Linked DNA regions of Lytechinus pictus. The protein of the gene in region 2 purifies or fractionates together with the protein of the main gene of each other region. This does not show direct contact. Links are inferred from orthologs where the notes say so. Each region holds a gene or a part of one and is shown on either strand. Other genes may lie near its edges.

Region 1 (8,306 bases), on a different chromosome or scaffold from region 2:
TGCAAGTAAAAGAGATATCAACCAGATATGAATTAGTACTCTTTGTAGTTTGTAGTTACACTATATTTTGTATTCAGTAAGGTACATGTTTTCAAGGGGATACATTATGGAAATGTTTACTTCTGATCCACTTTGTTTAGCATAATATCTTCAAGTCTCCTTTCTCGTAGTCATCCAATAGCTGATAGGAGTATACTGATGTGTCACCGTCGTACGTTGCGTTATACCAGGATGGGTAGCCAGGGACCTGGCTGATACTCTACCAATGAATTCTTTCTCATCTCCATCAGCATCTTTGAATTTATGTTGTACCTGGGGGGATAAGGGTGGAATAAATGTGATGAGTACATTTCCTATATACATTTTCTTTCCTTTTACATTTATGAGAAATTGATTTTCAAGGCAAAATAATAGAATAGTAAGAGTGCAAATGCACAACTTACCTAAAGAAAATGAAATAATATTCAATAATATAAAATATAACAATTGCATAATGCAAATTGTGAAATAATAATTTGAAATAAGGAAACAAATAGACAATAAATGGTACCAAAGTATGTTATTGCAATATAAACATGTATATTGACAGCAAAATAACTGATATCAAAATACTCAAATCATACTGAAAATGTACAAAATAGAATAGATATTTGATGTAAATATTCAGTAAATGAAATCATATGAAACATAAAAAAGTAGATGAATTTACATACCTGAAATAAAGTATAATACCTGAAAAGCCTTGATAAATAGAGCAGGTTAACACTCATCTGGATTACCCATACTAATACAATGAAATAAGCTTATGTTAATCAGTTTTAATATTCAGGATTCATAATGGGCTGACATTATCGTACAGCAAGAATAACAAATGAGGTGTTTTTGTATTAAAGCATAATACATACATGTATTATGCAGCATAATTGGACTTACAAATCAAACTTTTTTTACAGTTCATATTCAAGATCTGTTCATTTTATATTTTAATTTGTGAAATCGTAGAGTATGTGATGCTGCATTCTCTGGATTTAATAATGCATATCTTCTCAAATTTCTAGTATACAGTCTTTTTCTGACAGAGGTAATTCTCACCCTTTTTCCAACAAGAAGAGGCTTGTCACCATCCTGGCTGGCTGAAGGAGGGAGAATGCCGCCTTTATCAGCTCCTTCACATTCTTTGCCAGTTCTTCAAAGGAGAAGGAGCAGCCTCTCCAAACTGAAGTGATACACGTCTGGCGAGGGAGGTGTCTGTCTTAGCACAAACTGTCGAAATCTCAGCTGAGCCTTTAGTGCATTGATCTTAGAAGAATTTGAGTGAAGCGACGCTAACATCTCCACTTCGTGCTCGCTTTGCCACAGACCATAATACTGGATCTCAGTGGTGTACTTCTCCAGCTCTTGAAGTTTTCTTCTTTCAATTGCTTTTTCTTTTGCTTTTCCAAGCCTTTCCTCTTCTGCTCAATGATCTTTGACGAACTCTCCTTGAAATTTTGATGCACCACTCTTGCTTTCTTCCTTGCATCGTCTACCACCTTTTCAGCCTCTTCCTTGGACATCTGTTGCAACCACTCGGATGTTTCATTGAGTGAAAACAATGGTTGCTTCATTTGCAAGCAGGGTGGCATTTGGTCTCACCTTCATCAAGTGATCAAGGTATGCAAAGACTCGCTAAGCATGCTTATTATGCTTGTCTGTGCTAGTAGACGTTGCTCTTGTGGAGTCATCAAATTCTGTCAGATATTCACTATGAGTGCTCATTACCTTTGCCAAAGATGGAAGGGCATTCTGAAGAATTGTTTGTGTGAGACCATCACTTTCACTAGGTTTTACTAGGCACTTAAAGATAGGGTCTTCCTCAACCCTGATATGTACATCACTCAGGTCCCCTCATGAATTCCTCTGGCCTTTCGCTCCCTTGCTTGAGGGTGTCTAGAACCTTCCTATATATATCTATAGATATCTAATATGTGCTTGGACTTCTAGGCTCCTCCAAAGGGGTGTGGTGACCAGCTTGCTGATTAGTCCAAGCGCCCTGCACCCTGCCAAGACGTATGGCTCTTCTAGGTCGGCCTTCACACTCTTGAGCAACTTGTTGGGCACATCAACGGAGCTTTCCAAGAAGCTTTTCATTTGTGACGAAAGGAAGAAGATGTACGCAGCATTGAAGAACAGGATGTTGAACCTGTTCCCTCTCAAGGGAACCAAGGGAAGCGACTTCATATGATGAGCCTTTAAGAAATCCTTACAATATACCTTGAAAGGACCATGCATCCCGGATTGCTTGTTGCCTCCATGAGCAAATGCCTTTGAGGATGTCTTGATCAATCGGATGACGCTGTTACTGTCATGAAGGAAAATCCTTTGGACGCAGCACCTAGCTGTTGTCCCTCAAACAGCTCTTTTTCCACTGAAGAAAGACCTTTCTCACTCACTTCAGCATACTGTACCAGACTGTGTAGCCCACAGAAGGATGTTAGTTGTTCCAGTGGTGCTCTCTCGTCAGCAGTGAGGTTGTCCCAGTTTTCAATCAGATTGGGCAGCACCTCTGTCCGATGCAGTCTCAGAAGCTCATGCCACTTTAGTTCCGTGGCTGCCCTGTCGGACATGGTGTTCCTGATGTTCTTCAGAATTTTTTGCCCCGCTGTGCGTCCTTCAGCTGCTTTGTCAATGTCTCGTAATAGCTCCTTGAACGTATCAAGCGTATCCGAAGCCGATTTGGTAGCAATATCCCTCAGACCCAAAACGTAATATCTCTTGTCACTGTCGGATCCATGGTAGCCCAATATCTTCTCGCCATATTTGGAGGTCTCGTCCGTATACAAGGTGGTGTCTTCTTTTGAGGAAAATTCGCAAGCTGGTTTTGAGCCACACAGAGACGCTGAATGTTCATATTCTCAACAGTCGTCTTGGAAGGGAGTCGCTCACATTTCTTCCCTGTTAGATTCTCAATCATACTCTGGTTACACCTACTTGGTTGTCCAAATCATAGACGCAGGTGGTTAGTTCTGTGTTAAAACACCGCTTGTCATCATCAAACGTTGGAATTGTTTCGTTGGTGAGATAATCTATCCTCTCTTTTAAATCCTTATTTTCACTTCTGAGAGTGACTTCTTCCTTTTTGATTTCCGCCATCTCGGTCTCAAGTTCTGTTATTCTTTCACTGTCTTCATCTTTCTGATCCTGTTTCATTTTCGTGCATTTCCCTCGATAATAATTCTCTCGCTCCCTTGTCCTCTTCAGTGAGGCACGAAGGTTGGACGTGCAAGCTTTTTCTACTTCCAACTTACTTTCTGTCTTTTGGAGTTGAGTGCTCTGTTGCTTCAGTTCACCGGAGATCTTGGCTGTGCCTGCTTCAAACTTGCAATGTGTGTGATCATCGCATATATTCTCTCCTCTAGGGTGCCTCTTACTCTCCGTCGCCACTGGAAAGCGAAATTCCTGAGCTAGAATTAGGTCTCTCCGTTCTTGAGCAGCTGCTACTTTATCCTTCTTCATACGTTGAAGTTTTTCCTTCACTCTTGTAATGGCAGAACCAATTGACTTATCCGGAACATTATGCAACCTATCCTGAAAAATACCCTTCAGGTGTTGAACTACTGCAGTCACATTCTTCTGCTGCTTCACGAAATCTAGAACATCAGCGTGAGAAACGTTGGCGCGAGATGCGCTTTCTGTACCTTTTAATGGATGTAGGGAAGAAATGGATTAGCATCATAAAGACGGGGCCGCAGAAAGGTTTTGAAAGTGGGGGTGCGGGGTGAATATGCATAAAATCATAATCAGATGGGAATTTTTTTGTTTTTGTACACGATTTTGGGAAAAAGAAGGACGGGGCTGAACGCCCCAAGGCTGCCCCAAACCCCCTGTTTCCGCAGCCCCTGGAATAGAATTTATTTTGTATTTCACACTGATTTTTTGTTTTTTGTTAAATGTATCATCATTGAACTTCTATAATGAGCCAGTGTTGAAGCCATACTTCAAAAAGATAATCTAGAATAGTAATTAATATAGAAATAATCATTAAAATTTGCAAAGATAATTTTTAATAGCCATTTTTTATTTTTATTTTTTACTTTCATTCTTTATACAAAATACAAACATATACTGTGGATCACCCTTGAAAACATGCAAATAATGCGGTTTTCAAATTGGCAAATTTATTTTTGGGACACGGGGTATGCAAAATAAAATGCAAAAATGATGCAGCTGTGGTGGAAAGTAGGTAAAGGAGAAAAGCAAAATATACCTTGAAATAAAATTATTTGCACCATGAGTAAAAGGTTCCCAAATATTGAATAAGAGCATGTGTAGGAAGAGATAAGGGGGAGGGCTTTAGTATTCATGGTTTGAAAAAAAAAATAGTCTAGCCTTGACAAAAACATGAAGCAGAGAAAAGGGTCATAACATAAATAAATCTGTGCATTTATCATTTAATAAAAAAACCTAAACTAGAATCAAGCTTTTTATTTGTAGGGTCTTACTCTTATTAACAAGGGATACAGGCTCCAAATTAAAAAGTGGGGGTGAAGACATCACATGACAGCCTGGCTTGGTCACACCCACTTATGCATATGGCCATACGATAATACGGGCAGCATTTGTCATCATAACTAACTGTTAATTCATCCCTGCAAATCATGAACACAAACCCACACACACATCCCAGCCATAGATTTGTAAAGTAATATAATCTCACTTTTTATCAATTTAATAAATAGTATTGGCCACTCTCACCAAAACACAAACATTAAATCGCACTCTTCACAATATTTCATCATAATCAACATTTTTCAGTACGTGGGACTACACGTTAACACACTTCCGGGTTCTCGGACGCGTCTGGGGGCGATATTTACGGAATCTGAGAAGGGACTTTCCCTTGAATTTACCGCTTTCGCTAAAATTCGTGGCTCTGAATGGCTACTACAAGTTTGGTGTCATTCGCCGCGATTCAACAAATAAGATAAAAAGTGCTGCATCATTGAAGATACCCCTACTATTCGCGCTAAACAGCTCTGAATCGCACCTATAATTCGAGTTTATCAAAATCTGCCGTTCCAGAGCCCCCCAAAAGTATTTAAAAATATGAAATTTCTTATGAAAAAGTTGCCAAAGTTCTTACCTTCCAGAGAAGCCATGTTGCAGTGCATTGTGGGTAAGAAAAACATTGAAATCAAGCTGAAAAAGGTCACCCTCATAACCCGGAAGTAGATAGCCAGTGACAAGAAATGCTTCGTGAAATGAACTACGGTGGAAAAAAATGAAGTGAGAAAACTGGATTTCCTCTAATTAATCACATTTATTCGTCAAAAAAGGAACAAACATTGAATGGTAAACATTTTCAATCATATTATTGAGATATAACAATGTAATGGTGAAAAAAGGGATTTCGACATCATTTCATCCACCCCTGTTTTGTGTACTGTTGGAATAGGGTCTGGCAAATGAGGGGATTGTGTGGCATCGCTACTCCAGTATCGATCGAAAATTATCGAGACTTGGCAATTTCATGCATATTCACGCGACGCTCCGAAACCCGGAAATCAAATGATATAAAGCATGGATTGCTCAACTTGATCTCTGCTCTGCCACGGGTCATAGAAGATTATATCCTGAGTCATCAACTCTTTTTCTCTTATTTGCTTTTCCTTCCTCGCTTCTTTTCTCAATTTCTCCTTGAGCAGATCATTTCGTTTTTGGACAATTGCTTCTCTCCGTTCTCATATACCTTCTTCATTTTCCTGGCATCTTTTCGAGCTTCCTTGATTAGTCTCTGACGGTCTCTTTCCTCCTTCATGTTGATCCACTGACCAGTTTTGTTCAATGAGAACATAATCATCCTGACTCTGGTGATTCGAATTTGGCCTTGATCTCGGAAGATGGTCGGCATATGCTAGGACACGTTCGGCAAGTTTGTTATGCTTTGCAACACTTTTGGTTACATCATACATGTCTGGAGAGGGGCTGAAGTGCACCCCACCAGGAAGATGCTCACCGTATTGTTTTTTTAGAAGACCAGACATTGCTGGAAAGATGACAGACAAGAAGACTTGTACATCTGCATCATGTTCTGATGTCTTGATTTTCACTTTACTGGGAGGAGAGTTGTTCAAGTTTAATCCTTGCAGCATCAAGCTCACCTGTCTTCTCTTGAAAAGATGTATGCAATTGACCTATTTCATTATCCTTATCTTCCATCGATGTATGTAGAACTGATGCCACTGTTGGACCAGCTTCAACATCCATATCATGGTCAACATGTTTACGTTTTCTAGTCGCAGCTGATTTTCTAGGAAACTCGTAAGGAGATGAGAGGAAGCTTTTGTGCCCATCTGTTTTGCGGGATTTATTTTTATTTTATTTTTGAATGCACGAAAGAGGGCTTTAACACATTCTTTGTAGGCTGACAATGTTGCACAAGATTCGGTCCCCCATTTGCTCAAATAAGTTGACTGCAACCATTTTGCACAATTATTATGGCCATTTTCCCTTCTTTGATCAAGTACTTTACCTTTAGATAACTCTAATTGTTGGATATTGGATTGATTTTATTCCTGGGGGGCTTGCACTGGCCACATGTATGAAAATATTTGATTTTCCCGCCTTCAAAATTCAATGCATCGATTTTTGATCGAATTGAAGCTTTCGAACACCGGTTTACAAAATAATCAATGACTCGGGCCTAGTTGTGATCATCACAGAGATTCTCTCCTATTAATTTTCTTCTGGCCTCTGTTGTCAGTTTGACACCGATAAGCAAAATTCCTTTGCAAGAACTTTTCCTTCATTCTTGAGATGGCCAAACTGATCGATTTATCAGGTACATTTTGAAATCGGTTTTGAAAAATCATTAACATCCTCTACGTATTCTGTACCACAATGCAATATTATAAAGATCAACTGTTTTTGTTTTTCTTTTATCCAGGATGAGTACTGTTCAGAGGTATCATATAGTCTGAGAAGACTTGTGCGAGGTCTAGCTTCATCAAGGAAAGGTGCTAGACAGGGTTATGCAATAGCCCTTACTGAAGTAAGTTTCAAAGGCAAATGCTGCAATTATTTTTAATTAAAAAAAAAAATTGGAGGGGAGGTGGTGGGATTGATGACTTGAGTTGTAGTCCCAGCAAAATTTCAGATATCTTTCGGGATCCTCTTTTTTGGGAAGCAAACTTGGTGTACCAGTGAGAAATCTTTCGGGATCCTCTTTTGGGAAGCAAACTTGGTGAACCAGTGAGAAATCCTTCCGCTATCCTGTCTGACCAGAGAAAGTTGAGGTAATGACCATCAGGCATGTCTAGTGCCATTGCATAACGTCTGATGGTCATAAATCTTGTTCTATTCTGGATATATCCAGATGGTGTCAGATTCCCCGGGAAAACAAATTAAACTGTACCTTTAAAATTCAATACACGGTAACTTATATGTTATCAGATATAAATGAAATATTTACGCTGTAAGCAATTTTTTATCGGATAATGTACATACACTTGCACGCTGCACTTCACCAGTACGACAATACACCAGACGGTGGACTGTACTGTTTCCAGAAGAAGAAGAAGGTTAAGCTCGCGCTGAATTTTATTCCATTTATTCAGATATCAATGTCGGTCTGTAGTACCCCTTTACAACCACTGTATATACACAAAATACAACTGCAGAGATCTATGAGCCTCAACCAATTGTGCTGTATTGCACCAAACTTTCATTCTGTTGCTGGCTTCAAGCATTTTCAGGTCATGGAGAGTGAGATATTCACATCACCATACCAAACAATGGGCGAAATATGCAGAGCATTGCATATTGATCACATAAATACATTTCATTTTGGTGATGGGCGATACCTGTAAATGGGTATTACATCCAAAATTGCCCTGCAAGCCCAGTGCTTTAGAATCTGTAATTTTATCATTTCTGTATTTCTTGTTCATCCTTTTTTAAAAACAAGCCCACCTCTACAATACATTGATATGAATAAAAGAGATTAAAAAGATGAAACAAGCCTTACAATGATAATTCCATGAAAATTTGATGAAATATAAGAAAGTTTAAACCCACTTGGAATTCAATTTTTGTTTATTGTCATATGTCAAAAACTCACAATGTTTCTTATTTCATGAATTAAAAACTGGTGATTGCATGACATTGTCAACTCTCATTTTCATATCATCCATGATGTGCCTACCTTGTGGCTTAACACAAAACTGCAAATGTCATTTATTCTTTTTTCTCTCTCATATGATTTTTTTTTTTTGCTGGGATGGACTTGACCTTGTTTTTATGTTTTGTCTCCTTTTTTCAGTTACTTT
Region 2 (8,219 bases):
CACACTTGGACACAGATGTGTTCTCACGAAAGACCAGAGGCTTGAATGTTGTGTACACTCCAACTGAAGTGGAGTGAAATGTATCGATGGGTGAATGACGATCATTGTTGAAATTATGTGTTAAGGTAGATCAAATGATTGCCTAGCCGCGTCTGAAAGTATCGATGAATTGTGTCCGCTTATTACAGAGCATGATGTATATAACTATGTGTGTATTGATGGAATATGTTTGTATAATATAGCTATCTGATTTCAACTATCTTTATGATAAGTTTGGGAAGTGGGATTGTTCATTCAAAAGATTATCATTATACATAATCTTGTTTGCTGTGTGATAACACTGTACAGTTGCTCACAGAACTAACAATTATCAATATTCAAATGTAAAAAGTAACATTGTTTAGTACTAAATATTGGCAGAGAATTCATTTTTCTTGAGGATATGACCCTCCCACTGTGCCAAAAGTAATTTAAAAATGCAGTAGAGGTGTAAATAGAGACCATATAATACTGTACTAAGGGGCATGACATTGTCACTGACACATAATAGGTTGTTTATGTAAATTTCTAACGACCTTTTGTTTCATGTCACACTACTTATGGACACAGTTTGGACAGTCATACACTTGAGGTAGACCCAATTATTAGCCAAAATTCTGGAGATTAATAAATATATGAATTTCTGACATTCAGAAATCATTCAGATCATCTTTTTAGAACACTAGCTTCTGGGCACCAATAATATTTCTGTACAACATGGTGTATGATATTGCTTTGACCATCCATGTCTCATACTTGAAATTTCACATTTGAGATAGAAGTGTTGCAATTTGCAGTGTAAAATGACTGGTTTTGCACTTATGATTGTTTACTCTACAGATGAGCATTATTTTCATTATGGGTTTTCAGTAATATTAGGATTGCACTAGAGTTTTCCCTTCGTGCATGTTGTATGTGTTGTTTTTGTCAAAGTGATTATTTACAATAATGTGATTTTGTCTTGTATTTAATTGGTTTAGTATTTTCCATATTGTCTGCTGAAATGGCAGAATCGTTACAATCCTCAAGCAGACCTACCATTTTCTCAACTATGTTGGTTTACAGCTTGTCGGTCATGTATGATCCAAACAATTATTTTATTATCAGAACTAATATACGTCATATCATGTAAGTACCAGAGGACTGGGTACCAATACTCATCATTAAGATATTAAAAATCTCTCCCAAACTGAAGAGAGAACATGAAATTGCCCAACTAACACCTACCCACTGCTTTGAGGTACCATTTAGAGTCTTAGTTTTCCAATAATTTCATTAATGCGATTGTCATCAATTCAACCAGTTTTCAATGGAAGTTTATTAACGTCTTTTCATGGGTAGGAATACTAACATAATCAATGTGGAGTCTTGAATACATTATGAATACAAAGTATATACATTACTCTTTTAGTTAAAGTCATTGTTAGGTCGGGATTCTTGTAGATCTACTGGTGATTTCCTATCAACTTGAGATTTACCCAGAAATCTCACTGTGCTGCAGCTCGATTTGTTTTTAATGTACATGTACATTCCTGCATTTTGTGAATAAATATTCTGTCCACCATCAAACGTAATGTGCCATGTCATATATTTCTACCAATCATAGTCTTTACAAACTTCCCTGGTTGCAGTGCTGATACAAAGGAGATAGAGTCAAAGCTGTCTGTTACAGCCACCCAACAGAAAAAAAAAAAGGTCTCTGTGGACAGGTGGCATTTTTTAGATGGTTCCGTGACATTTGCTCCGGTGACAACTGCTCCGATTGAAAATCTGCACATTGAGCGAAACATAAAACCTAACCCCCAAAACTAAAAAAAAAAAACCTAATCCTAATATTTACATCATTCTGAACCAAAAACTCTATTACAATCCTAAGTCTAACCCTATGCCTTCTGATATATTAAGACCGGAGCAATTGTTGCAGGAGCAAATGTTGTGTCACCTTATAGACAGGTTCTATTAAACATGTATCACTTTCAAATGGGAGACAATTTTGTTGGCCACTAAAGTAAGGTTTTCACTATAGATAGGTTTGACTGTATTTACATTTGATTGTGGGGGAGTTTCACAAAGCTCTTTGCAAGTGATGTTCACTGTTGAATCCTTGCATCTGATCGGCTGAAAAGCCTGACAAGATTCTTCATGAAGCTCTCCCCTGAAGTCAAAGAAAAGGAGGAACAGCTTAGGCTCTGGGGGATGTGAAGTTCGGTGTTGACCTTTGGGTGCTGGGCTGATTTTTTTTAAATCATCAGTACAGCACCAAATTAAAAATGAAGTTGGTCCTTGGATGAATCTTACTAGATGTTGAGCTATCAGTATCAATTGGGATGAGATTTGCAAACTCACATTGGTTCTTGGATCTAAGGAAGGCAATCTTGATTGTGCTTCCAACCCGAACATAAAGGACTTGCAACTGTTGTAACTTTGCCATTATGGCAACTACCATGGTAACATTGATTCTGATTGGCTGCTGAGCCCTGTTACCATGGTAGTTGCGATTATGGCACAACAGTTGCAAGTCCTTTATGAAACAGGGCCCATTTCATGAAAATTGTTATGATGACAAGTTTGCAAGAACAGCTTAAAGCTCAAGTCCACCCCAGAAAAATGTTGATTTGAATTAATAGAGAAAACTCATACAAGCATAACGCTAAAAATTTCATCCAAGTGGGATGTAAGATAGGAAAGTTATGACAGTTACATGCACACCTTGGTTCTATGCGAAAGAGAGAATCGATGTCTTTGTCCCTCACTATTTCTTTTGTTTTTTATTAATTTATACAATACTTTGATTTTTACAGATTTGGCTTGACTGAACAACAAAATGGTTAAATAATTGTATTCCACATGTTCAGGGAGGAATAGAACTTTGTTCCACATGAAAATGAGAAAATTGTAATATTTTATATTCCACATAATAAAATACAAAAGAAATAGTGAGTGGGTGGTGTCATCAATTCTCTTTTTTGCATACCGACCAGGATGTGCATATTTAAGCGAAATTTTAAAATAGCATAACTTTCTCATTTTACACCTGATTTTGAGGAAATTTTCAGTGTTGTGCTTATTGCATTTTTCCCTTTTTATTCAAATCATTTTTTTTGGGGGGGTGGACTTGTCCTTTAAAGCTTCTGAAATCATTCAATATAATTGGCTAATAGCAAATTTCTTACAGAAATTGTGGACTTAACATGCCATTATGAAACGGGGCCCTACACCAATACCAAACTTGATATCCCCTGTTTTTTTAAACCGAGTTTTCAGCGACATGAATGAAATTGTCAGCTCTGATTACTTCAGGCATATTTTTGGTGTTAATTGGGTGAAATTGGGTCGAGTTGTCCAGCCGATCTGGCTGTTCGGCTTGTCGAGCTGTCTGGACCCCGTGTAAAAAGTTGTGAAATATAGTTATGCAGTGCCAAACTGCTCTCCATTTGGGGTGTCGGCTGTGCTGCGATATCATTTAAAATTAAGGTACCCCAGGTTCTAAAACTGTACTGCAAATGTATTTAAAAAGGAATGTATTTTGGAAGAAATCAACCAAGTTCAAGTAGGCCTATCCGCCTATCCCATCTTCACCCCCCCCCCCATAACAAAATGTTGGCTCAGGGGGGGGGGGGTAGGTGGTTATCGGGCACGTATGAGGTGGCATCATTGCCGGATTGAATTCCTTCAGTGCTGGTGACAGCTTTCAACTTACATAATCTCTATATGCAAAGCAAGCACATAGGTGAGTCTCTCACAGGGGCCGCAGAACCCCGGGGGGGGGCACTCGACCAAAAAAGTGGTAGGGGTGTGCCGCGGGCGAGGCAAAAAACGGGGGCCTTGGAGCGGGCTTATTTTAAAGGAGGGTCCTCGGAACGGGCTTCGGAACTACAAATGTTTGTGAAAACGGGGGTCCTCGGAACGGATCTCCGTATCTCTGTGAGTGCGTATGGAACGGGCAATCGTGCATAACGCAGCTAGCACGGCCTCCGCCGGGTGCGCTCGCGCTTAGGCGATGGTCGAAAAGCGCTCTACGGCCGCTTTTCACCAAAATTGTAGCAAATCAATGCGACCGGAACGGCGTAACGAAAAATATGCGAAGCTCTGGAACGGATTTCTTTCTTCTTTTTTTCTCGATAAGAAGGAAATGCTATGCCTTGGAGCGGCTTTCTTTGTTCTTTTTCTCAATAAGACAAAAATGCTATGCCTTGGAACGGAAATTTGAGTGTAAAAATGGGGGTCCCCTCCGCGGCACATACCCACTATGCATTATATACTGAGTGCCCCCCCGGGCGCAGAACTGTTTTGAAAATGGGGGGGGGGGCGGCTGCATGTCCATATAAAAATCAGGGGACCGTTTCATCAACATTTTTGTCTGACAAGTTGTCAGATCTGACATCTTTCCTTGATTCTGATTGGCTGAGAGGCACTGTTACTATAGTAACTGTCGGATCAAATGGGACTTGTCAGATAAAACGTCCGACAAGTCCTTTCATGAAACGCTCCCCGGATGGTCATTTTTACGTCTTGTACATGGTTTTGAAAAAAATTGGAGGCTGAAGCCACCCCACCCCTGGTTCCGCACCCTCTTTGAGAAGAGAGGAGGCAAATTTCACGACAGGTGAGGGGCATATTACTGATTTGCCCCCCCCCCCCCCCTTCCGAAAACATTGGCATTGTTCCATTACGCTGCCATAGTGCATGCCTGCTGCGCCTATGGTGCATGCGTACGACGACACGTACGTCTCGCGCGCCGTACAACGCCTCGCAAAATTCGGCCATTTAATCATCACGTAAACTCTCGGAGAAGACTGTGCTCTATCTTGATTAAAAAAGAACCACTAAATTTAATCAAAATGGGAACCAACAAAGTTCAAAAGAAGACTAAGGTACGTTTATTAATCATGATTACCATAAGTAAGGTTTGAAAAGTGTGTTTTGAGTGTCATGCTGCTCCCTGTTGACACTTAAAATTCTTCGTTTTCATGGCATGTTGGGATCGTTGAAATTGCAAATGGAGACACAGTGCGTGAACGTGAATGGGCCATGAGGCATGAATGGTGATTGCGTGCAGAAAAAAGCAACACGCGGTCTGTGTGCTGGGCCACGTGGTGAGGCTGGCTGGCGGCGTGCCGTGGTTGGTGAATGGTCTTGAAATCTTACTGAGACCGAGTGTCAGACAACTTAATTATTCTTATGCTGTGCTTGTGTAGTGTCCTCTGACTTAAAATTTATTCATGTTCGTCCATTTTTTTTTTTTAAGGGGGGGGGGTTTGCCCAAATTTGAGTTTTATTAATCTATGACGAGTATGACTTGGCTAGATTTGGACTTTTGGTGCAAGATCGCCACATGCTCCAACTAGTCTGCACAGTGCCCCTTGTCTGAACATTATTTAGACTCAACATGGTGCTAAATATTGAATTGAAAGCATTAAATTCATGGAATATCCCAAATAAAATGCAGCCTTGCTTGACAAAATCCCTGAAACTTGTGCAAAGTGAATTGGTACGCAGACATGGGGCACCATTTTTTTGTTTAATCTAAAAATGACTGACCTCAGTTTTTTCCAAGGAAATCAAATTTCTCTCTAATTTGTGTCTCACCTTCAATCCTGCGTCGTCAACATAGAAATCTTATACTATTACTAGGTTAAGTTTTTGAATTATCAATGTCATAACTTAGAAAAATATGGATAAAACTTGGACATAAATGAAACTTAACATCCTGCCTGGGTTTCAAAATCTTCTTTACCTAGAGTTAGATTTTTAAAATGTCATACATGTAACTAAAAAAGTTTGGTCAAGTGTGTGACCAAAATTATGACAAATCTTGACTTTAAAATAGATTGAAATTCACAGAGCAAAATGCTGAAAATTTCATCAAAATCGAGAACACATAACGGAGTCGGTGAATTTTTAAGTTAAGCAATATTTTGTGAAAATACTGTAGTCGCACGTCGTCATGAATATTCATTTTGTGGGCTGATGTCACATCCCCACTTTTTCTCATGTTATTACATAAAATCATAATTGTTTCATTTTTTCATACATGTGTGTATAACGTGTCTCCTTTAATAAGTTGCAGCAATGAATACCGGTATCTAATGCACTATATCAGTGGTCAATCCAATTTTTTGTAGTTCTTGATAGAAAAAAATTGAATAAACCTAATAAAATACAAAAGAACAAGTGACATCAATGCATAGAATTGTTTCACTGGAATAATCTTTAAAATGCCATAACTTTGTTATTGTCCGATTTTGATCAAATTTTTAGTGTTTTTTTTTTTTTACTTTAATGTAAAAAAAAATCATGTAGGCCTAACAATTATAGGTTTCCGAGTTTATGAAACCCTTGCCTCTGGAAATAGATTATTGGGGCATACGTGTAATTTTTTAAGGGGAATCCAACCAAATAAGGAAAAGAAAAATCAGACGAGTTGATAGGTGAAAGTTTGAACAATATTGGACAAACAACAAGAAAGTTGTGAATTTTTTAAAAGTTGTAAATATTGGTAATCACTATACCCATGGAGACTTTAAATTGGCCGCATATGGGATGTCATAGTGATGTAAGGCAAGGACTATTCAATGTACTCCAATACACATTATGGCTAAAATGTCATTTTTCCCAAAAGTTTTATTTCAAATTATAATTTTCTGTCATGAGGTCTTAAAACAATATACTACCTGGGTTGTATTTAGATTACTGCCCCAGGGGAATGGGTACTTAGGAGAAAACCACAAATCCCTGATAATAAAGTACATGGCCTATGGGAAAGTTGTCCTTGCCCCTTGTCATAATTTACTTACTCAGCTGCCAATTTGAAATCTACATAATATTAGTGATCTCAATTTTAAAGCAGCTATAATTTCTTTCAAACTTTCACCATTCTGTATAATTTATTTTTCTTCCCAACACAACATTTTATGGCCAAGGCTGGATTCCCCTTTAAGATGGGGGAAAATATGTGTACTTGTTTCCGGTACCCTGAGGTCAGGCATTGTTTTAGGGTCCATTTCACAAATGGGTAGGAGTGGTCAGTGGATCCACAGTCTGAGCATCCAACAATCATGCTGCATAATTACCCCTAAAATCATCCTAACTTGAAATTTATCCTTCTGCAGACTATTAGCTGTACACCGACGTGGCCTGGATCTGGAGGAATGCTGCTCTTCATTAATCTTCGTCCCAGTTTTTGCATCTTGCGTGGTGCAAATTGTCTAGATATGTTGACTTGTTAAATTTAATGAAGGCTTAGCGAAGTCTTCTACATGAATGCACGTTATGATTGTGGTTAGATTGGGTCTTGCGTGATCCAATTGTGTTTCGATACAATGTGTTGGAGAGGGGAGGTCTAGCGTGGCCTGCTATATGAAATTAACATGTGGCTGGTTTGTGGGTCTTGCGTGGCCCAAAAGTTGGTTGCCAGAGTGTAAGTAATTGGGTACCTCCAATGGTAGCCGGAAAATGGTATTGAAGTGACCCAGTGGTCTTGCGTGGCCATGGTGTGAAGGGTCTTGCGTGGCCCTTGATCTAGGTATCATGCAGGTAATACGAGACAACGGGTCTTGCGTGGCCTGTGCATTTGTAGTACGGGTCTTGCGTGGCCCTAAGTTACATGTAAATAACTTCTTACGAACAGTGGGAGGTAGTACCAAATCTGCATGATTGGCGGAGAGTCTGTGGATAAACTGGTTGCGACAATGGTACCAAGGCCCGGCTTCAGGCTTTCTTAATAGATGACTGACTCGGCTCGCCCTTCCTACCAATTTCCAGACAGACCAGTTCCACTCTCGCCCTCTATCATGTTTAAGTGGTAAGGTACTTGTAGTTGTAGTTGAGATGCATAACCGATTTGAAGTTTTGGTAAATGATCATCCCAAAAATGCATAACTTTTCCAATTCTTTGCTAATGCCACATTATATGAAACCCCTAAAACTTTTCTGATGGAATGGCAAAAAAAAAATTAGTTGGATGGAATTTGTGTTTTGCATGAAAATTTTGAATCATACATGTAGGATCTTTGTCTAGTTTTATTTTTTTTAATAAAATCAGTAAACACAAAATAAGTGCACAAAGATCCTTTTAAAGAGGGAGAGAAAACATAGTAAAAACTCTGAAAAATTCTAGTTTTCAAAATTTTTGGAGGGTAAAACTCTGTGTCATTACAGAGGGAGGGCACGAGATGTCA

What was found. Proteins that work in one complex are often made in the same cells at the same time.
Region 1: the proteins of nucleolin-like (region 2) and myb-binding protein 1A-like protein purify together in Homo sapiens (affinity purification with mass spectrometry; 3 studies listed by BioGRID and IntAct, with this or other methods). This does not show direct contact. The link is inferred for Lytechinus pictus from reciprocal best matches to the Homo sapiens genes NCL and MYBBP1A.

Annotation. Positions count from the first base shown.
Region 1 is NC_087246.1:16,074,842-16,083,147, forward strand, and holds the start of myb-binding protein 1A-like protein, read left to right. Parts: upstream 1-5,136; coding exon 5,137-5,151; intron 5,152-6,925; coding exon 6,926-7,030; intron 7,031-8,299; coding exon 8,300-8,306. UniProt on the Homo sapiens protein: May activate or repress transcription via interactions with sequence specific DNA-binding proteins. Repression may be mediated at least in part by histone deacetylase activity (HDAC activity).
Region 2 is NC_087258.1:12,360,819-12,369,037, forward strand, and holds the start of nucleolin-like, read left to right. Parts: upstream 1-4,794; 5' UTR 4,795-4,880; coding exon 4,881-4,913; intron 4,914-8,219. UniProt on the Homo sapiens protein: Nucleolin is the major nucleolar protein of growing eukaryotic cells. It is found associated with intranucleolar chromatin and pre-ribosomal particles. It induces chromatin decondensation by binding to histone H1.